Struthio camelus: one gene and its partner. The protein of the gene in region 1 purifies or fractionates together with the protein of each later gene. This does not show direct contact. Links are inferred from orthologs where the notes say so. Each region holds a gene or a part of one and is shown in the gene's direction. Other genes may lie near its edges.

Region 1 (11,932 bases):
GCCCACACAGTGAGGTAAGATTGTACTATGCTCTCTGCTTCCCTGAGTAAAGTGCCTGATTTAATGAGAAGCAAGTCCCTGATTCAGCAAAGCACTTAAGTGTTTTGATGAATCAGGGCCAGACTGAACATCTTGTGCAGAACTCAGTTGTCTAGCGAACAATATCAAATGTTCTGTTGATGGATGCAGACTTAAATGAAAATTAAAGACATGGCTATTTAAGGCTGTAAGTGCCCAAACCATATTGTTGGAGTTTTATTGTATTAAAGTAATCATTTCTACGGGAACAGAACCAGCCACCTCTAGAAAATCCATTCCATCCTCGTCATTCTGGGAAGAATATTCTCAGGCCTCCCCAAATGCCCTGCCAGACAGCTTGGGTATCTCTTGCCTAGAAACTCAGCGCATTTGGGCTACTTCAGATCAACAAGTTCCAGCCGCACCCTCTCATTTACTACCAGGAACACTCAGCTTTAGTATCCCTATTGGCTGCGTTTATAACAAGGTGTGGGGAAAAGAGGCGTGACCTCCTGTAGGCCAGATCAGATATTATAGGGTATGATCGATGCCTGCACTGTGTTCCATTTGGGGACCACTGGACAAATCTCAAGATCTCACTGTCATCCTTACTTTGCACCCAGTCAACAGGCAAGGCGTTGATCTCTGTACTGACCTCAGTGTCTAAACGTATCTAAGGTGCAGCCTCAGACAGGTTACAATCAGCGAGGATGTCTATGAGCCTGCTTTCCTTTCTGTTAACAGCTTAGACAGCTCTGTTAAAAGTGCTCTCAAACTCAGAACACATTAATCTTGTAAAATGAAGCATTAAGACGGCATGGAAGTGCCAAAGCGAAGACTGTTACAAACTGTCTGAATCCTGAAATGTAGAACTACAATTTCTGAGGTAGTAATGAGTGAGCTGCCTTTGAATTAGTGTCATCTCTCCCTTCCCACCAGCAGAGAATCTGGCCGGTGTTCACGCTTTACGTGACTCCATTCAATCATTCCTGCAGTCTTAGGGATTGCACTGGCTCTGTCATGTTCAGCCAATGGTCCAGGATTTCACAGAACTTGAGACCATGCACTGCATTTTGGTCAGATTTGACTTACAATTCATGTAAACTGGGAACATAAAGTGCAGAGGTAGGTATGAACAGGAAATAGCTTTCTGCCCTTGGGGGACAAAACGGACTAGGTAAAATGAATAAGGCAAGGAGTAGAACAATAAAGATAAACCTCTGAATATGAAAGCTTGCTCCCTCTCATTCATCAAGCAGCGTTTCGCCTGCATGCGGAACGAAGCAGTGCACTATAACCGAAGACGGCATCATAGTGCACACAGACAGATGGAAAGAGCGGAGGCTGGACTTTGGCACATCCTCATTTTGGGGTGTTCCTCTTTGAAGGAATCATATTTTTCTAACGCAATTTTGTTAAGGTAAGTTTTTAGCAATATTTTGTATATGCTTGAAAACGTATCTGTAGCATAGTAGGAGCCAAACATAGCTTACCTTTTTCTCATAAAAGCAATATACACGTTTTTCTCTCTCCCCATTCAGCCTAGAGCAAGAAGTAGGTAATTTCATCTCCCTTCTACTTATCTCTAATACACCCACTTGCCATCTCAGCTAGTCAAAAAACAACTGGAAGTATGTTTTATAAAAAACCCTACATTCTTAACCAGCTTGTATATGCACTTAGATGCATTCACCTCCCAACCATGGAATATAGATAGGTGCAAAAGGCGGGGGGAAAAAGGGTACATGAAGACATTTTTGCCTTAATCCTATGCTCTTGTAAACATTCCCATCGGGCCACTAATTCTCAAAAGATTCATAGAGAAGAAGTAAGCTACATGGTACTTGGTTTATCTGTTTTGGAATGATGAAGCGCACAAAACCCTGGAGAGATATAAACTGTGGTTCCAGGGAGTCTGGGGATTTCAAAGCTGCTTTATCTTCTAGATAACTAACTGGCAAAGAGGAATTAAAAACAGTGTCTGCAACTAAAAATGGAATGATATATTATGGGCTTAAAATATAAAAAGTGTCACATCATAAATACCTGTTACAGCTTTGTCTAAAGTAATAGTTTTAAGCCTTTATTATTTTGATTTGTGGATTTCTAAACATTTTTTTTTTCCGAAGAAATGCAAATCCTTGAATAGCATATTTTAATCTTTTGTCAATGGCTTCGCTTTCCTTGTTTTCACAGGGTCCCCCCTACAAGTAGTCTTCGGGAATTTGTGACCCAGCAGTTTTAAACCCTTAGTCTAGCAGTTAGAGCAGGGACCAAGCTCTTCTCAATTTCATCCTTTGATCTACTTTGCTGCATGACTGTAGTAAACCTCTGATTCCTCTTCAGTAAAACAAGAAAAAAACAGTTTTGAAGTTCTCAGGCTGAGACACTTTGAACTTACTATTGAGAAAGGCTGAGCAATTGAAGTTCCCACCTACAGAAGCAGCAAGTGCCTAGGAATTTTGTATAAGCACAACACTAAAGCACTCAAAATGACTGGAATGCTTGATATTTTTGCTCTTCGCCTCTGCAACCCACAATGCCGTGACTTTGAATGAAGGTTATACCATTTATGTGCAATGGCAAAGGACAGAGACTTAATTTTCAAAGGGCCATTAAGGATCCATTGTAATGTTTTTGCAACAGTATTTGAAGGATTTACTTGAAAGGCTTCAGAAAAATGTGAAATATTGTCAACAACGCAAAATGTTTGTATCCATCAGCCAGAGGGAGGGAAAAAGTACATGAAGAAACTCAGCCAAGCCTGACTAGATGTAGTGGATCTTGATCTTTGTTCACCCCATAGTTAGATATTGCTCTCCCCGGTCATTTTAATGGTATCCTAGCCTTATCTCCTAAGGTGATCTCATTAAAGCCAGGAGACAAGCCAGCAGGGAGTGTGAGACCTGTAATTACAGCTGGAAGGTCGATAGAAATACAGTTACATACAATCACCTTGTGTTCTCTGTGTCCCCTGGTAAGTGAATTACCCTTTAAAAAGCCTGAATCCCTTTTGGATGCCTTTTTAAACCTCATTTATATAGAGGCCTCATGGTGGAACTCATCTCACCTTATCCGCACGGCGGCTGCTTTTGTTGCCTGCTTTAGTGCGCTGTAGGTAACTTCATCCTCTAGAGACTCTAGAGATAAGGGACAAGTGGCTGAGGAAAAACAGCTTATTTGGGTCCAGCTGCATTCCCTTGTTTTGCTGAGGAAGTAGGAGCTGCAGGAGCATGTCACCTCTGAAGTGAATGGCACTGCATTGTCCAGAGGGAAAATGCTCCAATGTCCACAAACCTAATTGCCACTAAAGAAGAAGCTTTTCAAGGTGAAGGCCAAAGTGTGGCGCTCGCTACAATACATGCAAAATGCTGGTGGAGACAGGGGATGCCATAGAAAGCAATACTAGGCGGGAGATGGGATTCTTTCCTATTCTAGGTAGAATCCATTACGGGGATCTAACGTCCTAGCTTTCCCAGCAAATGCAGCCCTAGGCTGTGGCAGCTGCAAAGGGGCAAAGAAGATTTGCTTTTCTGTGTTCAGCTACATGCCGCTTGTTAGCGAAAGCAGGAATAAGCCTGAGTGGAAGCTGCTATATCCAGCAGCAAGAGCAAAGGGCTTTCTGATCCTTGGACTCTTTACCTAGAATCTGCTGAAGCTATTCTACACGCCTACCACCTTCTCACTGTGACTCTGCTTTCCCATCCTTAATATGGGCATAATAAAACTCCCTGGTGTAAAACACTCTCAGGTTCCCAAAGTAAAAAATGCTACAGAAGGACTGTATGATGTACATGCTATTAATAACAGCAGTAGGCATTCACATAATGCCTTGCACTGTTTTCATAATGCCTATCTCCATTCATTGCATCTAGCACTACCTACCCCTGGAATTTGAGCAGCCCACAACTGCGCCAAAAACAACGAACAGTCAGAAGGAAAAAAAGCATATTGCATCAAATCTTCAAAAAAGATTCACAATTACTCCCAGCCTGAATTGAGCAGGACACACAAGCAAGAATGTTCAGGTGTTAAAACCCGGCTGGATTTAATCCAGTGGCAGGAGTGAAGTTCCCTGAGTGTTATCCCTACTTCTCTCAGCCACCCTGCCAGCGTTATCAAAAAGAGTTTGTAATTGCTTGTAGATACTGAAACCAGAGCTTTCCTATTTTTTCTTAAGCTAATCCCTCTTACACCTGTTTCAGGAGGAGAATACAAGTACTTTACCCTCTATGCCTGGTTTTACACAATGAATTTTCCTTTGGCCCCTAGGGATTTGCTCTTACTTTAAATCACCGCCAGTAAGAGAACTGGGATACGCTTTTCTCCTGAAAGAAGTCGTAGGTGTAAGTTTACAACACCACCGTTGCACATGACGGTTTCACATGATGAAGAAATGGCAACGCGTCGAGTATCCCAAAGCAAATGATGGATCAAATTTACACTGCTCCAACTCAGCTATACTGTTCAGGCCATAAGCTGTTTCACTTCAAGGGGCAAAATGTATTGGAAGTTGTTTGGAGGGGTTTTTTAAAATGTCATACGGAAGATGCCTCACAGCTACATTGAAAGAAACTGAAGTTTGGTAAGGAGTGAAAATGAAATGAGTAGGTGATTTCAGTTCAGAAATTCCCAACCGGTTCCTAATACCTCTCCCTGCAGCTGGCAAGATCTAGCCCTTTATGGGAAGTCTTAAAAGAAAGCCTCAAAGATGAGTAATGAGAGCTAAATGAGAGCTCTGCCTTGGGGTCAAGATGGTGCAGCTTGGGAGGGAGACTGCTGCCCAGGCGCCATGTGTTTTCTAGGTAAATGGAAAGCTTCTGTCTCCAAGTCTGTCAAAACAGTGCCAGGTCCAATAAAGACCACCAGCAGCACAAAACGGATCTTAGGCAGAACGCTAAAAACGGGACTCGAAAAAAACCTGCTTCCTTGCCCTCTAAAATTGCATCTGAGCTCACCACTCTAAAGTTTCTACTTTGAAGTTCACTGCGTTCAGTCTCAGAAGTGCCTCAGTACCGAGCAGGCAAAGCCACTCGTAAGCCCAGCTGGAATCCCAAAACATAGTGTACATTTGTCTGCATGGACTCAGGTGTGAAATGTCAAAGCAGGTCTAATGCAGAGTGAAGGACCAAGCTTCACAAATGCTGTGGAGCCTCCCATCTTCTTTTGAGACACAACCAGCAAGGAGATGGTTGTAGTGGCATCCCTACCCCTTGCATACAAGGGTCTGTTAGCAAACAGGTTGATCACAAAGCTCTCACCCAGGACCTGAAAGGCTGAAGTTGTCTTCTGCTGAGGGGGGTTTTAGCCCCTGCTTACTAGCATGGTGCTTAACTACTTGAATGTAAGCTCTTCTCTCCAAAAATGTTCTCAGCACCCCAACAGCTAATCCAGTGTGTTTGGGGCCATCGGCAGGGAAACCCTCCCATGGGGAAGAGGCTACTGAAACACCTCCGCGGTGGGGTCCCCTGGGTATTTCACAGCTCATACCAGGTCCTGTAGGCTCTGTTAAGCTGTCATGAAAAAAAAAAGAGCAGATGCTTGTTTTCTTTGTGTATGAAGACAGAATTAAAAAGCAAACTGATCACAGGCACAGAGTAGCAACTTTGGCATCCATCAACTTTTCTCAGATTTTTATGTATAAAAGGAACCATGAGGATCACCTAGTCATGCTTCCTGAGCAATACAGGGCACAGAAATCTCTCCCGTAACTCTTTGCTGAGTCCTGATCACAATTTGTAGTAATTACTGAACTTTAAAGCCTTTAGAGCTATTTTTGTCAAGTTTATTCACATCTACTGGCATACAGGATGAGCTTTAACCTCAGCTTAGCAAGTCTGAAGCATTTCAGGCAACACGTAACCCAAGCCTACCAAGCACCCAATGTGATAGCAGAGAAGCAGAGAATGACTTGGTTGGAAAGGGCCTTCCTGAGGTCTTGAATCCTCAGAGCAGGGCTGGCTTCAAAGTTAGACGGGGTTGCCCAGAACCTGGTCCAGGCAGACTGTGACACCTGCAAGGACACACCTGCACACACCAGCCTCTCTGGGCACGGTGCCTCAGCGCGGCGCCAGCCTCGCGGCAAAAAACGTCACCCCAGATATCCAAACCAGAACATGCTTTGCTAAAATTCGCATGCTCCACGACAAGCTGCGGGGGCTGGAACCGAACACGTCCCGCTCCTCTGGGTCCAGCCCGGTTGCAGGCCAGCGATGGCAAGCAGCTGTGAGGCACGCAGCCCTCCGCGCGGCCCCACGGAAACCAGAGAGGGGAAGAGCGGTGGCGTGGGGAAGCCCACGGCTCCCCTCGGCGTGCTCCCACTCAAGCAGGACAAATCAAGCCCCCATGCCTCTAGGGTTGCGTTTTTCAGGGGAAACTCTCTGGCTTATCTTCCCTGTGGTGCTTTTTGATGTCCTGTCGGGATATCAGCGGAGAGCGGTTGGACTTCTAACGCAAGGCTCTTTCAACCTGCGGCTCTCAAGCGCCGGGGAGCGATTCAATGTTTACTTAACGTAAAGGATACAGGACGGCTGGTTCCTATCGTGACCTTGGAGGCTCCTGTCACCACGCAGTTGCCACTGACGGTGAATAACGGCCATTAGCGATAAATTACGTCAATCTCTTCAGATTTCACGGGAAAGCCGGGGCAGCTGGCAGGAACACAGCCACCCCTCCCCAGCCCGGCCCGGCCCGGCCCGGCGCAGCCCGACCCAACCCGACATGGCGCCGGCGGCGGCCCCGCGAGAGGCCCCGCGCGGGGCGGCGGCGGCCGGGCCGCAGCGCCCCCCGCCGGCCGCCCCCTCCCTCCTCCCCACCCGCCGCACCGCTTTCGCTTTCTTGCGCGCCCCTCTGCCCGCCGCGCCCCCGGCTGCCGGGGGCCCCCCGGGAGCGGCGGCCGGGGCAGCCAAGGTGAGCCCCAAGGGGCAGCCGCGGCCGGCGGGAGGGGCCGGGCCCGCTGGCAGCGATCCCGCTCCCCCTTCCTCCTCCTCCTCCTCCTTTCTCCTGGCTGGGCGCCCGCGAGGGGCGGGGCGCGGCGCGACGCGACGGGGCGGTGCGGAGAGGGCTCTTTATGCGGCGGGAAGCCGGCCGCGCTCGGAGCTGCGGGTGGCTGCAGCAGGGGCGAGGAGCTATCGCCGGCGGGGGCACGGGGGGCGGGGGGAGAGGAAGGCGAGGCGGTAGCAGCAGCAGCAGCAGCGGCGGCGGGAGGAGGACGACGGAGCGGCGGGCGGGCGGAGCGCTGCCGCTATTGTTCCGCACCTGCCGCCGGCCGGGACACGTGGCGCCGCTGAGCCCCCGCACCTCGCTAGTAGCACCCGCGGGCCCCGCACGCAGCCGCCCGGCACCATGGGCAAAGGGGTGAGCAGGGGCGGCCGCCGGGAGCAGGGGCGCGGAGCGGCGGCGGGCTGGCGCCCCTGGGGCGCGGCGCGAGCCGCGGCGGGGCGGAGCGGGGCGCGGCGCGGCGCGTGCCCGGGGCGTGGGCTGTGCGGCCGGGAGTGGGACGTTCAAGGAGCCGCCGCCGCCGGGGTCCGCGGGCGGGCTCGGCCGGGGCAGAGCGGGCGGCCGCCTGGCTGCGGCTACCCTCCCTCCCCCCTCCATGCCCCGCCGGCCGGGTCCGTGCCGGGTTGGGAGGCGGGCGGGGAGCCGGCTTGGTGCCGCTGACGCCGGTGGTGGCGGCAGCGGCGGGGGAGCGGCCGGCGCTCTAGCGGGCGCCAACGGCTGCCGCGGCCGTTGGAGGGTGGTGCCGAGCGCCCCAGGGGCGGGCCGCGTGCTCCGTGAGAGGAAGTAACGGAGATTGGGGGGGGGGGGGGGGGGAGAGGAGGCGGCACGAAGGCCCCGGCAGACGGCGGGCCCCGCCCGCCTGGGAGGCCGTGGGGGAGGGCTAAGACGTGGTTCGCGGTGCCGGGCAGCACTTGGCGTTTCTGCCCCGGGGAAAGCCGGGGGTGGGGAGGAAAGGGTGGAGGAAATACTTATTTAAAAGTTGAAGCTAGCGGTTAGGGTATATTATAAATAGGCGCCTATAAATAGGTTTCGTTTTTTAAGGCTGAGCTCTTAGGAATAAGTCTCCCAAATCTCATCGGCCCAGGCTTGTCGCGTTCGCCTTGCGTTCACCCCCTGCGTGGTTTCTTTCTGCGTGGGCCGAGCAGAGGGTGGGAGTTGGGTGCTGTTCTTGAAAGCTGAGCGATGCCTCCTCCTGGCATGAGGCAGAAGTTTGCCGGAGCTTATCCTGTAGGAAACCTCTCGCCTACAGTTTTGGGGTGATAAGCCCTCCTTTTCTTTGCGCGTGCTGTTGGTGAAAGCATGCTCCAAGCTGAAGGTTAGCCTGTCAGTTTTCTTGTCAGCATGGGAACAGAAATGTGCTCTGGTAGTGATGTTAGTGGGCTGCCCTTTTGGAGCTCGGCTTGAAAGCGTGGCTGCTCTAATATCTTTTTGGCCGTTATAAGAGTACTTTAGACTTCTGGAGGCATGAGGCGCCAGGGGGAGGTGACAGGCTAAAAGGCCCTGCTTATTAGTGCTCATTTGCTTATTAGTACCAGTGAGAATGTGATAAGACTTGATGGACTGGGGAAGATGATCATTCAAGACTTTATCGTGTCCCTCCGGTTAATTGGTGTGATAAAGTCTCCCAGGCTGCTGTGCAGCAGTTTCTAGATACTTGAGTGAGGAGTTGTTTCGGCACTTTGTTTCCTTTTAGCTTTCTATATTATAACCCACAATGAAATGAACTCCTTAATTCAGATTGTATTTTTTGAATTAAAAATAAGTATTTGAAGGCTCTTGGAAGCAGAAGTCAATACTCTGGCTTTTGATCACAGTAGCAAACTTTGCAGTGTGGGGAGCAGAAACACCTCTTGGGTTGCTCTGATTTTGTTTGGACGAAACAGCAGTTTCTCTGTGTGGGTTTTTAGTTTTTATTTGTAAGGGGTTTAGGGTCTCTTCCCCTCCAAATACTTGCTCCTAGATGTTGCACAATTGACGGGGAATAGATTTTCTTCCTGCTCCAGACTCTTTCCTGGCAAAACTCATAATTTCTCTGCTTCCATGAAGACAGCATAACTGCAAGGTTCCTAGAGACACAGGGATACCACGATTGTTCCCCAGTCCAAACCAAGATTGCTTGATGGTGCTTGCTGCTTACAGTTGTTCTGCATTTCTGAAGTGCTGTTCAAATATCGATCAGGACAGCACAGTGTCAGGCAGTGCTGTATAGCAGTGGCAACATTGACGTGAGTAGCAGAACTGTGAATGCAGCTGAAAGGGCAGTTATTTGTGAAAGGGGACTGAGGAGCGTTCCCCACCACCACACGCCACCACCATACATCAAGCTCAGTATCCCAGTGTAATGTATTTCAGGCTACTGGGTGGTTTAACTGATAGCAGTAACTTGGAAGGAACAGGCACTGTACGAGATCATCTAAGAGATAAATATGGGGGGGGAGGTTGATAAGTCCTCTGGCTGCTCTAGTTCATCAAAGAAGCCTTAGAAAGCTTTCCTGACTAGGATGCAGAAGGCTTCATGGGGGAGTTTAGGCTGTCTTGACTTGACCGGTGGGAGCTAGATCTTTCTTTCATTAGAAATTAAGTAGCTTATGTGTATAATAAGCAATTTGGCCTGAAACTGAACCTCCAACATGAGGGGTAATACAGCAATGTGTGGCTGCCTCAGGCTTTCTGCTAGAAAGTCGCAAGATTGGCTCATTTGGCAGTGAGAAAGCATGCTGTAATAGGGATACCCTGAAAAAGGTGGATGTGAAAGAGCAAGAAGTTGGAAAAGACTGCATATGATTGCAAAACTGAACAGCAAGCACCTGTCCTGACTTAGGGTGCCCAGAAAGGAAACCTTTCTTCTTTCCCATGGAAGCCTAGCATTGAAGAGACAGTAAGTGTGTGTGACACAGACAGACCTCTCTTAAGTGCTTGCATCTATGGCTCTGAAGAGAAGCTGACTAGAGCATCTGTTTTACTTTAAATGGTAATAGGGCGAGGGGAGGGGCCTGAGCTGCCTGGGTATGTCTTTCAGCCCAAATAGCAGATCTATCAAAGGCTGTGTGAACTGGAGAAAAGCAGACAGGATTTCATTTGTGCTCTGTGTTTGCCTGGAAGCTGTCTGTAGACAGCAGCATGTTTCATTATATTTGCCTTGCTACATGTGTGTAGAGTACAATCGTTAGTGTATGTTTGAGTTGTTTCTAGAGAACAATATTAATGCCTGGACCCCAGTTAAGCTTTTCTGCTGTCAGAAGCTAGGAGGCCTTATTCCTTAGTGGATCAACTGAGGGGAAATTATGCAAATCAAAGCATTCCTTATCTTAAGACTTTTTAATATGTTCACCACCACCACCCCCAAAATCCCTTGTCCTCACTTTTATTAGCAAGGGCAAGCGACAGGATATGCCTTTTGCCAAAGAAAACCCCTGGCCTAGCCAATGTATTTTCTCAAAGCAGTGTAATGGAATAGGAGGGTCTTTGACGAGTGCTCTGTACCTGTGGTTTTCAGTCCCACAACCTGGGGGTATCCTGACATGCCAAAAGCAGCAAAATAGTACACTTCAGAAACCCAGGCTATCAACGGACAGTTGAAGTTACCAGTTGTTCTAGGGAAGAGCTGTGTCCAATCTGTTGTTCCTTCATGTGTTTGACAGCTACTAGAGATGTCTAGGTTGACAGTACAGACATGCCAATATTCCAGACGCAGAATTGCAGGAGATGACACTTCTTAGTTGGCACAGCACCAGGGAAAAAAACCAGGAAGGGCTGCTTGGTCACACAACACTAGAGTTTGGAAAGCCAGTTCTGCTCCTGGGTCTTCAAGCAGCTCCACAAGAAGCAGGGGAGACACTGGTTCTGTTACTGAGAGAAAGCTTACAATATGTGGATGGTTGCGTTTCAACCTTGATGATGAGAAGCCTTGCAAATTTTAGATCCCTTTTCATGTGCAGAGAGGAAGGCCTGCAGGAATTTGAGCCTATGAAGCAGCAGTCTGCTTGCTGAATCCCAGTAAGAAGTGTTCACAATCAGTAACTGTGGCTGCTTAGTAAAAGTTAAATGGTACTGTCCTAGTTGCTGAGGATCTGTTCAACTGATGCAGCCAGTTACTTTTGATTACAGATAGAAGGTTGAGCAGAGCTTGTGAAAGGGAGTGAGAAAGCTCCTGAGAGGGTATTTATGTCCCTTGCTAAAACTACGTACGGTCTCAGAGCAGTGTCTCCAATCCAATAGGAATAGTCACTGGCATGACTCATCTGGTTAATATATTTACTGAAGTTTGTCTCATGAGACAGCAGGACAATAATTTTTCTGTTTGTTCTGCCCGGTTGATGACGACATAAATGTTGGAACAGACTGGGCCTCTGGAGACTACTTAACTTATCTTGGCTTTTACTTGACGTTGCTTGTTGGGGTAGGTGATATTAGAACAGGGTACTGCTGAAATTGACTGCTGATTTGCACCCCTCCCATTTCCTTGCTAATGATGGTTCATGTCTAAAGTATCAGGCATAAATGGCTCAATTAGCACAGAGCGGAAGAGCATAAGTTGTATCTTAAAGACAATAGGGCTTTGGGGAGCAGGGGAGGCAATGCATAAAACTTCTTGCGTCCCTGTGTACAAACGTTCTGCTTTGGCCAATGGAAAAAGCTTGTGTGAAAAAAGGTTGTGTTCTCTGGCTTTTCCTGTCGAGGTTTTGATGAGTCAGAGTTCCTTAGCTAAGTGAAGCAGCGGGGGGAGGGGGGGCATTTCTGATGCTACAGATGTTCCTTTGTGTTCAGGCCATGTGGTTAATTCTTGATATGATGTAGGTCAGGAGTGCTGTATGTTTTCTCCCTTTTAGGTGGGAAACGGAGGGGAGAGCAGGGAAGCTGTACAGTGACAAGGGGGCGGGATGAACCCCTCATCTCCTTGCAGCGCAGGCAGCAT
Region 2 (11,374 bases), on another chromosome or scaffold:
AATTATCTGCTCTCGTTGTGCCCCAGACCAAAGCACAAGGCTTACCCCTGAGCCAGAAAGGGAATTTTCCTTGGCTGCACCCTGGCACGCAGGAAGGAGCGACCCAGTGCTAGAAGCAAATGGGGTTTAATGACTAGCCAGGTTCCTCTTTATCAAGGCCATAACTTCATTTCAGCAAGTCCCTGTCAAGTTATACATCCTGCGCACATGGATTTCATATTCATTCTCTACCTCACCCTTGGGGAGAGGTCAGTGACAAACTGCTCAGTCTTCACAGCACACCAGACCTTTTGCCCGAGATGCTGGACTTTAGAGAAAGCTCCATCAGCATAGTTTCTACTGCCACCCAAACTTACTCAAGATCTGCTCCAGCAATGAAAGAGCCTGGCTTTGAAGAGATGAGGACGGCACTTTTGACAGCTTCATTGGCCCAGACTTCATTCAATACATCACTCATCTCGGAGCTCAATTGTTTGGACAGAGTGTTCACCTGAAGGTAGCCAATACACATTGTAAATAGAGAGCCCACGAGACAGTGGAGTTAAACCTCTGATTAAGTGCTGGACTCAATCATCATATCATCGGAAAACTCTCACAGAAGAAAGACTGAGGAAAAAGCCAAAGCCAATGGTAAGTCTAAATGGATTTTCCAATCTGTCTGAAGGCAGTGGAAGCAGTAGCTCTATAGCCTTTTAAAATTTGCATTCTGGCACAATTCTAATGTTTCTGGGCACACAAATTGAGCCCAGCTTGGCTATAAAGTTCATTTCACCCTGTATCACAACACAGCCAGAAAGAAAACCCCAAGATGAAACCTTGCAGCAGGTTATCAAGTAATCTGCTCTTAAGAAGTTTCTTCTTCAGCCTCACCAATACATGTTTTAAGAGCTTCTAAGCTGTTTTGTTCAACAGAATGGACCCTCTCCTCAGCCACTTTGAATCGAGAACTTAATGTTCAGTGACACCTTGTGCTGGTGAGAGAGACAAGTCAATTTGGTACAAATAAAATATTTCCAGGGGGCACTTCCCAGTATGTTCTTTTATTATATGCCCCGATTCTCATTCTCAAATTTCCACTTTCAAATCTGACTGGCAGCAGGTTAGGAAAGTTCTTAGTCTTCAGTTACCAATTTTCAATGCCTTCTCTGTACTACCTGTATTCCTGCTCTTTCCTCTGATATGCCTATTAATCACAGTCAACAAAACCGCACCTTTGAATCTGGTGTGCTGAAACGTACAACAGCGACATCTCCTTTGATATCACAGCTAACGTGGGTTCTAGCTGGAAACAAACGGAAACACTTTATTAGCTTATGTTTAGTGGATTTTAGGAAAGAAAAATCAACTCACATACAAAAGCTTTACGCTTACCCTGAAGAACAGTGGAGGTGGAGATACCACGGCAAGCATAACCTAAGGAAGAGATGTTGCAGATGTTACAGGCATTCTCGGTAAGCTTTTAAGGTGATCTCAGCTCAGATCTTAATATACTCTCCCATCTTCCCTTATCTGCCGAGGCCGGTGTTTCAGAAAATCCTGAATACCGGCCAGTTCCTTCTGCTATGGCTCGACCTGTGCCACCACCAGAATTCAGTGGACTCCATGCTACTGAAGTGACATTGGCAGGACAGATCCCACACGGGACTTTCCAATAACAGGAATGCCAAACTGAGGGCAAAAATCAAAACCTTTTTACTAAAGAGCTGACAACAGATTAAGCAGGGGACCTACGGAGGGGTTTTGACATTAGGCGTGCACGGTTCAACACTTCTTCACATGCTAAATTAGAGAGACCTTACCACCCTTTGGACACTTTCAAGCCTGCGTATAAAGTTCTCCCCAGACTAAATAGAAATGTCCTAGAATATCTCTGCAAAAATGCACTACTATGCCTGTAAATGTTGGCATTCCAAGTGTTATTGCACAGATCACAGGAAACATAGCTGTTAAGCCACAAAGAAACAGCACACAATGTTTATTCTCTCCTCCACAATCTATCAAGGCAATGGTTGATCCATCTCTACAAATTACATACGCAAGTACCTAGACAAACTTGTCTTGTTTTGAAACTTGCTCTGAAAAAACAGCACGAGGGATGACCAAAATCTGTATAACAGTGAAATGCTACTTTACTCGCACAAATATCCCAGATTCCCCTTTCCTGCCAAGAATTTGTATTCTGCCTGATGATCTCTCACTACGCAAGCGAGTCTCAGTTCTGTTCAAACGACCTTGATCTTGACTGAGAGGATCACCCAACGCAGATCTAGGCTGAATCTCTGCCAAAGCTGTTTGAATTCTCAAAGTCTAAAAGTGTTACTTCTTAAGCAACGTACTGTACACCTACCAATTGGAACACAGCCATTTACTACGCAGCACTGGTAAAACGCTCGGGGCTGAAACAATCCCTGTCCCAGCAGCAAGAAGGCAGAAAACCCAGGAGAACGAAAACAACCTTAAAACCTTGGCCTGCACCTCGCAAACAGACACGCTTCCCTCCCCACAGCCCCGGGCCACGGGCTCGGGGCTAGAGCTCCTTTGCACTTTGACCCTCTTTCCACTTTGTCACAGGTGCTGGCACTGGGGAATGACCTTTGCGCTCCATTCCCCAAGCCCAGGACACCTGGCAGGATGCCACGGGCTGGGGATGGAAACTGTGTGTCAGTCCGTCTCAACAGACTTCTCTTTGATGGGAGCAGGGGGTCACGTACTTGCGATACCATTTTATAAACAAAGCGTGAACTGGTTTCCACTCCAAAGCGGCTTTAAAATATTTATGGGCCTGAACAAGGCCCAGACTGCAATTACTCAGGTCAACATTAATTTCCTTAGACTTTCTGTGCACTAAAGTCGGGTACTCCTGGAACGAAGCACCAGCTCTCATTTTCCACAAAACAGAGCATTGTCTGCCAACAGTTTCTCCACTGACGTACGCACCTCAGCAGAATCCGATGCACTTCATTGGGTTAAAATACCACAATTAGCAAGCCACCCACAGAATCACAGAATGGTGGAGGCTGGAAGGGACCTTCAGAGATCATCCAGTCCAACCCCCTGCTCAAGCAGGGTCACCTAGAGCAGGCTGCCCATCCAACTCCACTACATTAGCCAGGTGAGCACTGAACAATCCTACTGAACGTCTTCACTTTAATCCCTGTATTACTCCATAGTGACAGGCATGGCAGGAACGAGAATCAGATCAAACAAACATCCCAGCTGCAGATCAAGTGATAATGCTTTCCTCCCACACCCTCAGTCAGGCACCTCCTAAAGGTGGGGTGGGGGAAGGAAAATTTTCCAAGAAAATTTTAAACCTTGAATTCCACTTTACCTTTCAGTTTTAAAACAACAGATACAGAGCAGGAAAAAAAAATCATCAAGGGCAAGACAGAACAAACCTCACCGCGTTTCAATATAAGCTCTTTTGGGAAACGTACTGCTGTTAGAGTAACAGTTGCTTATTATTTGAGTGAGGTTTTTTTTTTTTAATTATAACTTTCTGTGTGTTTTTCTTGACAATATTTTATTTTAGGGTCCAGTATACTCTTGGAAAACAATTTCTACGTCTAAAATTAAAAGCACATTTATGCAGTCACAGTACAACTGCTTTAGGTTTTGATTTCATTCAGAAGGAGCTGTGATAACTTGCCAAGATTGAAGCCAGAAAAAACCTCTTCCAAATTCTGTAGGAATAACAGCAGGCCAGATGTACATTTCTGCCATTTTATTAATGTTCATTCTAGAACTAAAAGCCCTGAATATATATTCAATTTTCACTATTTCACATTCTTTGCTCTTTGGACAAATGAAAGACTGTCTGTACAAAGGAACACCAAACACTTCAGAAAATTGTTCTCAGGATTTAGCAGAGAGCTTCAGAAGCAAGCAGGGAATGGAAAAGCCCCCTTTCAAACAATCTGGCTGGGACCTGTTTCGTCCCACTTTCTCTTTCCTCTGTCACTTCCTTGGCTGCTTCCTTGTCCTGCACTTCCCCTTCCTGCCTTTCCATTCCCCCCGAAGCAGCACATCACTTGAAGGGGGAACATCGTCCATAGATGGTTCACGAGGAAAGGCTTCTTGTAGTCCTGGACTGGGCAAGCGCCAGCAGAACAGAAGAGCTGAAGCTCACGAAGACGGCTGTACCTGCGAGCTGATCGCACTGAGCACTGAACTGCGAGCCGCAAGACGGGAAACTTCCAACAAACTGAGCTATTTACTACCACCTCTGGGAACCTGTCAGCATATGGTATGATATATACATAATATACATATACATACGGAAGAGCAGGTAAGGCTAGCTCTTAAGCTTGCACGGCCTTCTGCCTACTTACTGCCTTTTGCAGTTCTTTTTTGGGCTGCCCGTGATAGATTCGCATCCGTTTTGGCAAATACGTTGTTACGGAAGAACAACACGTAGAAAGACTGCTATTAATTATGTCGCATGACGTGACATTAGCCACAGATAGATAGACAGATAGTCCTGACAGCGTTCCCGGAACAAAGTATTTGTAATGAAGAATATTGCCAGTTATAATGAGAAGCCCACAAGAGGCTGTTTAAGCAATCTCTGGAATTACTACCGATCTGCTCGTTATCAGTTGCAGTGCTCTGCTCTTCTAGCGATGAAGTCACATATAAACTTGCTCCAATCCTGCATGTAAAACAGGCATTAGGCTTAAATGAAACACTGCCTGACTTCAGCTCTACATTGACACCAGACCCTAAGGCCCTTCAAAGCAGAGAAATAAGAGCTTGTTTCTAATAAGTCTTAACCTTAGGCCCTCCCCAGGGGCACCTTGCAACTCCTTTCTTTGGTACCTCCGGGACAAAGCACCAAGACTCAGCCGCCAGCAGCCATCGCGCCCAAGCAGGAGGGGGCTCGGGCTCAGTCAGCAGATGGCAACGGAGCAGCGGTCGATGACCGGGACGCTTCTAAACGTGACCTAGACGCGGCCCAAAGACAGCTGGCGAGGCCCCTGCAGACACAGGCACGCATGGGGACGGTGCGTTCCCTCCGCCACGCAGGGACACGGGGGCCCCCTCCCCTCAGGGCCACGCGCACAGACCCCCAAGGACAGAGCTGTCCCCCGGGGGGGCACGCACGCACGGGCGGGGGCAGAACACCCCTTGCCGTGGGCACGCGTGGGAAACCGCTCCTGGGGGACAGCCGCAGGACACCCGCGCGCAAGGGCATGGGGACGCCCCCCCCCCCACCCCGCCACGCACGGATACTGGGGACACGCGCAGCGTGCCAGGACGCGAGCGCACACCCCCTCCCCGTAGGGTCAGCTCGCAGGGCTGCAGGGACCCTCTAGCCTAAAACGTGCCCGCGGGCGAGGACATGGGGACGCCGCCCCAGGGAGGCGCGTGGGAGCACGTCCCGCGTGGGGACACCAACACGTGCAGGCACACCGCTGTCCCCCAGGACGCCCGCGCACCTGGGGGATGGCGGGGGGACACCTGGACGCCCTCCCCCCCGGGCAGGTACCGGCTGTTGGGACACCAGCCGCCCCAGGGACACAGGCATACGGGGGCTGTCCCCTCCCTAGAGCCCCCCAGAAACACGAACACCCGTGGATGCCTCCTAAGAAGACCCCCCCCTTCCTCAGCGACACCTCCCAGTGACACCTAATCCCTCACAGTGACACATACATACATGAGCTCAGTAACCCCTGTCCCTCACCCCCCCCACCCCGGGGACACGCACGCGCGTGGGCACCCCCCCGGGGACACACACACGCGAGGCCCCACTTCCCGGTGCCCCCCCCCGTGCGTGGCCCCACCGCCAGGTGCTTTCCGTGCCCCCACAGCGCCCCTCAGTGACACGCACACGCGTGGGCACCGCCCCGGGAGGCCGCGCCTCCTCCTCCTCCCAACCGCCCGCTCGCTCGCTCCCGGCCCGGCGGCGGGGCCCCACGCTGCCGTCGCCGCAGCTCACCCGGGGGCCGCTGGCGGCGGGGCGGGCAGTGCTTGGCGGCGGCCATGAAGCGCCCCAGGCTGCCGATAGCGCGCACCGCGGCCGCCATCTTTGCTGCGCGCGAGGTCGAGTGAGGGAGAAGCGTCGCGGGCGCCGCCGGGGGCCTTCGGCGCTCCCTGTCCCTCCCTCCCTCCCGGCCCCGCCCCGCCCGCGCCTGCCCGCGCCGCCAACCGCTCCCCCTCCGCCGCCAACCGCTCCCGCCCTCCTCGCTCCACTCTTCTCCCCGCGGCGCCTCGACCGTCCCTCACCTCCTCCGAACGGGAGCGGGCGGGCGGAGCGGCGGGAAGGCGGACAGCCGGGCTGTCAGGGCTGCCGTGTCGGTCAGGCGCGCGTCGGGGCAGCCCGCGCGGGGCGGGGGGAGCGGGGTCCTTCCAGAGTGGCAGCGCGGTGGCGGCGGTGGTGGCAGGAGGGCGCAGGCGGCGGCGGCGGGGCCGGGTCGGGCCGGAGGTGCGCGGGCGACGGCGGCGACGGACCTCATGGGGCGGGGGGGGGACGCGGGACGGAAGTGGGGTTTGCGGGTGTGAGGCGTCCAGAGGTGTGTGAGAGACAGCGGCGTGTAGGTCGGTGTGGGGGTGTGTGTGGGGGGGGGAGTGTGTGTGGGGAGGTGTGTGTGTACGGGAGTGTGTGGGGGGGGTGTAGGGATGTGGGGTGTGTGGGGAGGGGAGTGTGTGGGGGGGGTGGGGGGGAGTGTGTGTAGGGGGGTGTGGGGGGGTGTAGGGATGTGGGGTGTGTGTGGAGGGGAGTGTGTGGGGGGGTGTGGGGAGGTGTGTGCGGAGGGGGGTGTGGGGGGGTGTAGGGATGTGGGGTGTGTGTGGAGGAGAGTGTGTGGGGGGTGTGTGTGGGGTGTGTGGGGGGTGTGGGGAGGTGTGTGTGTAGGGGGGTGTGGGGGGTGTAGGGATGTGGGGAGTGTGTGGAGGGGAGTGTGTGGGGGGGTGTGGGGAGGTGTGTGCGGAGGGGGGTGTGGGGGGGTGTAGGGATGTGGGGTGTGTGTGGAGGGGAGTGTGTGGGGGGGGTGTGGGGAGGTGTGTGCGGAGGGGGGTGTGGGGGGGTGTAGGGATGTGGGGTGTGTGTGGAGGGGAGTGTGTGGGGGGGGTGTGGGGAGGTGTGTGCGGAGGGGGGTGTGGGGGGGTGTAGGGATGTGGGGTGTGTGTGGAGGGGAGTGTGTGGGGGGGGTGTGGGGAGGTGTGTGCGGAGGGGGGTGTGGGGGGGTGTAGGGATGTGGGGTGTGTGTGGAGGAGAGTGTGTGGGGGGTGTGTGTGGGGTGTGTGGGGGGGAGTGTGTGGGGGGGGTGTGGGGAGGTGTGTGTGTAGGGGGGTGTAGGGATGAGGGGAGTGTGTGTGGGGGGGTGTGGGGGGGAGTGTGTGGGGGGTGTGTGGGGGGTGTAGGGGGTCTGTGTGGAGGGGAGTGTGTGTGGGGGGTGTGGGGATGTGGGGGGGAGTGTGGGGGGTGTGGGGATGTGGGGGGGTGTGTAGGGGTGTGGGGGGTGTAGGTGTGGGGGGAGTGTGTGTGGGATATGGGGGGTGCGTGTAGGGGTGGGTGTGTAGGGGGGTGTGGGGGTGTGTGGGGTGTGTGCGTAGGGGGTGTGGGGATGCGTGTAGGGGTGTGGGCAGGTATGGGGAGTATGAGGGTGTGTGTGGGGGGGTGTGAGGGGGTGTGTGTGGGTGTGTGGACATGCATGTGCGCCCGTGGTGTTTGTGAAGGGGTGTTTGTCACGCGCCAGGGCTGTGGGGTGTGAGTCGTGGGTGTGTAGTGCGGGGGGGGGGGGGCGGTGTTAAGCGTTAAAAGCGTGGCAGGATGAGGCGCGTCTTATCCGGAGGCAGCTGAAGAGCAGGAGCAGCAGGGGCCGGTTTGGCCCTCCGCAGGAAGAAGCGCGGCTGGGGGTTTGTCCGCAGGGAAGCCTTGCGGTCCCGCTGCGGAACGAGCACGGAGAAAGCCGCTGGGGGAAGCTTTTGGGGTGGCGGTGGCCAGCTCGTTCTGCTTCCCGTGGGGATACGCCACGAAAGTCACTGAGCTCAGAGTCAGCAGTTGAAATTCAGGGCAGCGGCACGAGGTTGCGCCAAGGAGCGCGCGTTAGGAGAGTCATGCTGGCGGGGAGATTGGCTGGGCTCTGGGACAATTTTCCAGCGGGGAAGTGGTGGAACGGGTATTGCGAGGGGAATCTAAAACTGTGCTGGCTGCTGCGCTGCTGATAGTGATAGTACAGTGCTGGGTCATCAGCGAGATGACTGCTTATTTACAGCAATGTTTGCAAGCCGCAGTCATAAGTCAGACTTCTCACGTGCTAGATGCTGTTCAGAAAGTACAACAGAATGTAATTCCCTGTGCTGCTGCACTTGACTGCCCTTGATGTGTCTTCTCTTCCTCTGCTTTTTTGGCTCTGTGTGAATCAAGCAGTATGCTTACCTTGAAATTGTTCTGAATAAGCCAGATTGGACTAATAGCAGTCTTTCTTCACCTCTCTAGACCTCAAGATGACTTCCATGCTGACCCATATCATCAGAAACCTCCCTGCTTCCTCAGCATGGGCTGCCAGGGTCTGTAAGTATCTTTATGTTCATTAGAGACTTGAACTGGTAGGTCATAAAGTTCTCTTTGTTTTAAGCATTACGTTTGGCAGGGACACTTTTGTCTGAATCTCTGTTACGTTATGGTTTTTTTTTTTTTTTAAACAACTAATTCTGTTGTTGACGTATTTGTTGTTTCCCAGATCTCCCAATATGGGAGGAATCTCATGTTAACTGGTAATATGTACTATGTTGTTTTTATGAACACAGTAACTTAAAAAAAAAACCTTGCAGATATTCAGGTGCACTTGTATTGGAACTTCTTTTTTTTTAACGTTTCTTACAAAAATAAATAGAAATGTTTTTATAATTATAATTTGATAAATGCTCCTTTTGTGGTTCTTGTTTTTCAGCTGCAAGATCACTCAGCTGCTCTTCACAGTTACAGGCAGCAGGTAAAGTGAAAGCTTCAGTGGGTTTCTATTAGAGACTATTTTTGAAGCTGCCTCCCTTTTCCAGATACTCATTCTACATAGATCTCAGAAACACAAGGCAGACTTCGTTAATTCTAGAGGGCCCTTCTAAAGTTGCAAAAAAGTAAAGCTACAGGCAAAACAGTGTTTCCAATAAAGAGTCCTCTAAACATCTGAATCTCCCTCACCCCCAACAACTGTGCCTGGTCTGAAGCTCGTGCCACATTGTCACCTGATAGATTGCTATTTCTAGGATCCTAGACAGAGAGGCTAAGCTAGGAGGTTATAAGCTGTCTGGTTATAACCAAGTCTCTTGCCCGGGAGGGGTGGAGGTTGCCCCTGACTAAGAGAGGCTTGTGGAATTAGCTCAAAGGTCCAGTAAGACCTATGAGAGGCTCAGGTCTCAGTAGAGCGGCTTAGTGTGCACAATTACATTGATTGTTAGATGTGTGTGTTTTTAAGCCGTTTGGGTAGTGTGGGGTTCTGGGATGTGTTCTGGGGTCACTCAGGTGACTGTGATGCTTTGAGCTGCCTGGATTGCAAAAAGACAGCAGCCCCCGCTTGTCTCCTTAGCTTCATCTGGAGAACCCTCTTATATGACTCAAGTTTAGTGCTGGAGTTTCATACTTGTGCTTTCACTTGCTTGAGCACAGTATTTAGCTGGATTTAATCTGCTTTTACATGCCTTTTCCTTTTCTGGCTTGTAAATGCAGCTGCCTCATGCTGCTGTGTCTGCTGGTTAAGAATTGTAAACCTGACTGCATTAGGAAATTCTCATTGAGCTCCTTGTTAATCATCTCTCTAGAACAGCACTGACAGTGGTGTATTAAATGATGCTGTATCATGGCGTTGCTTTGTCTCAAACCTGAGATACTCCCAGGCATTATGAGGGAGTAGCAAGCTACCCACAACAGCTTTGTGCCCTCTTTTTGCTAGTACTTTCCTATGGAAGTGAAAGTTAGTTGACTTCTTGCACTGTGTTTTTATTTACTCTGAATTATCTCACCTTTGCTGTGCAATAGGAGCACATAAGTGAGCAATTGCTATGGAAGGTGGATTGTTTCCAGTCCTTGTTGCTTCCCGAGTGAAAGACTTTGAGGTCTTACCCTGGTTGCTCGTCTTTGAATTTGGTCCGCCTCATTTATATCCTAAGTCATTCAGCATTCTTGGAGGTGTCTTTTCCTGCGATATTTTTGTCAGTAGTAATGGAGTTTGAGGATTATGTTCCTTTATTCTGAGCTGTGCCATTGCCTCGATATAGCTATGGATGAATCTCTCTGCTGATGAGGGAAGCTGAAATTCTGTGTTGTTAAACCATTTTTCACAAACGGCATGCTCAACCAGACAGGGACAAGATTTTGCCTCGCATCTCCTACCTACTCTACTTTTGTCTTATGCACCAAAGGGGACTCTTTCCTGAGTTTTCTAGTAGCTCTAACAGGATCTGGCTTTAAGCTTGCTCATATTCTTGGCAATAATTACTTAAACTTCTCTCTAAGCAGTCCAGCCGAAGAGTAAGAAGACATTAGCCAAAAGTGGCGTGAAGAATATTGTTGTGGTAGAGGGTGTCCGTATTCCATTTTTGCAGTCTGGCACCTCGTAAGTATAAAATAATAAGAAAATACTTTGACTGGGTTAATAGTAGAATCTTTTGGTGGAAAATGTGGAATATGGTTTGCTATGTTGATTTCAATATAGTTACTTTTGTACATAAAAATACTAAGATGGCAAAGTTAGGCTGCTGACAGTTTTTCCAGCTTATATTATGAAAAAACGTGGCTTGAAGAAGATTGGCCATGAATATGAATTCAAAGGAGAATGCAGATTTGTGCTGCACATCTGGAGGAGCCCATTGATGCCCCTGTAGCAGATAAAGCAAAGCGTTTCACAAAACTAGCAGGACAGGGGCGGAGAATCTGCTGCAGACTCTTCTTATTAGACTATTATACCACCAAAATCACAGCTAAATTAGGACCAGAAGGAATATCTTTATTCTATTACTGTTGCTTTTCAGTGCTTTAGTATAGTGAACGTATGCTGACTTACACCTAGATAGTCTTTGTAACCGCAGCTATGAAATGTTTGCTTATGAATGCACTGTCCCTGTGATTCAGAGCATTTCTGGTGTCTTCACCAGTTCTGTGCTGCTGGTGTGCACTTACAGTGAAGAAGACGCCTGCGTTGGTTTCTGACACTAAGTTTCTGCCTCTCTCCTTGAACTTCCAGGTATGCGGATCTTATGCCACATGACTTAGCCAGAGCAGCATTGCAGTAAGTAAATGGACTGTCAGAAGAGCCCAAAAAATTGTCTTCTGCTGGACTCCAGGGTGCTGGTACAGTGACTTCAGCTAAGCTGAGAGCCAAGGTTCTAGTTTTGTTGCTAAACAATACGATCCAAGTGATTCATTTTTCGTGGTCTG

Evidence for each region.
Region 2: the proteins of ATP1A1 (region 1) and HADHB fractionate together in Homo sapiens (co-fractionation; 3 studies listed by BioGRID, with this or other methods). This does not show direct contact. The link is inferred for Struthio camelus from reciprocal best matches to the Homo sapiens genes ATP1A1 and HADHB.

Annotation. Positions count from the first base shown.
Region 1 is NC_090942.1:93,472,420-93,484,351, reverse strand, and holds the start of ATP1A1 (sodium/potassium-transporting ATPase subunit alpha-1), read left to right. Parts: upstream 1-7,062; 5' UTR 7,063-7,362; coding exon 7,363-7,374; intron 7,375-11,932. UniProt on the Homo sapiens protein: This is the catalytic component of the active enzyme, which catalyzes the hydrolysis of ATP coupled with the exchange of sodium and potassium ions across the plasma membrane.
Region 2 is NC_090944.1:1,812,511-1,823,884, forward strand, and holds the start of HADHB (trifunctional enzyme subunit beta, mitochondrial), read left to right. Parts: upstream 1-6,035; 5' UTR 6,036-6,297; intron 6,298-6,302; exon of another isoform or gene 6,303-6,537; intron 6,538-7,755; exon of another isoform or gene 7,756-7,857; intron 7,858-8,440; 5' UTR 8,441-8,448; coding exon 8,449-8,515; intron 8,516-8,894; coding exon 8,895-8,936; intron 8,937-10,453; coding exon 10,454-10,553; intron 10,554-11,180; coding exon 11,181-11,225; intron 11,226-11,374. Other genes in the region: HADHA (trifunctional enzyme subunit alpha, mitochondrial), read right to left, coding at 357-490, 1,212-1,282, 1,372-1,413, 5,939-6,026. UniProt on the Homo sapiens protein: Mitochondrial trifunctional enzyme catalyzes the last three of the four reactions of the mitochondrial beta-oxidation pathway.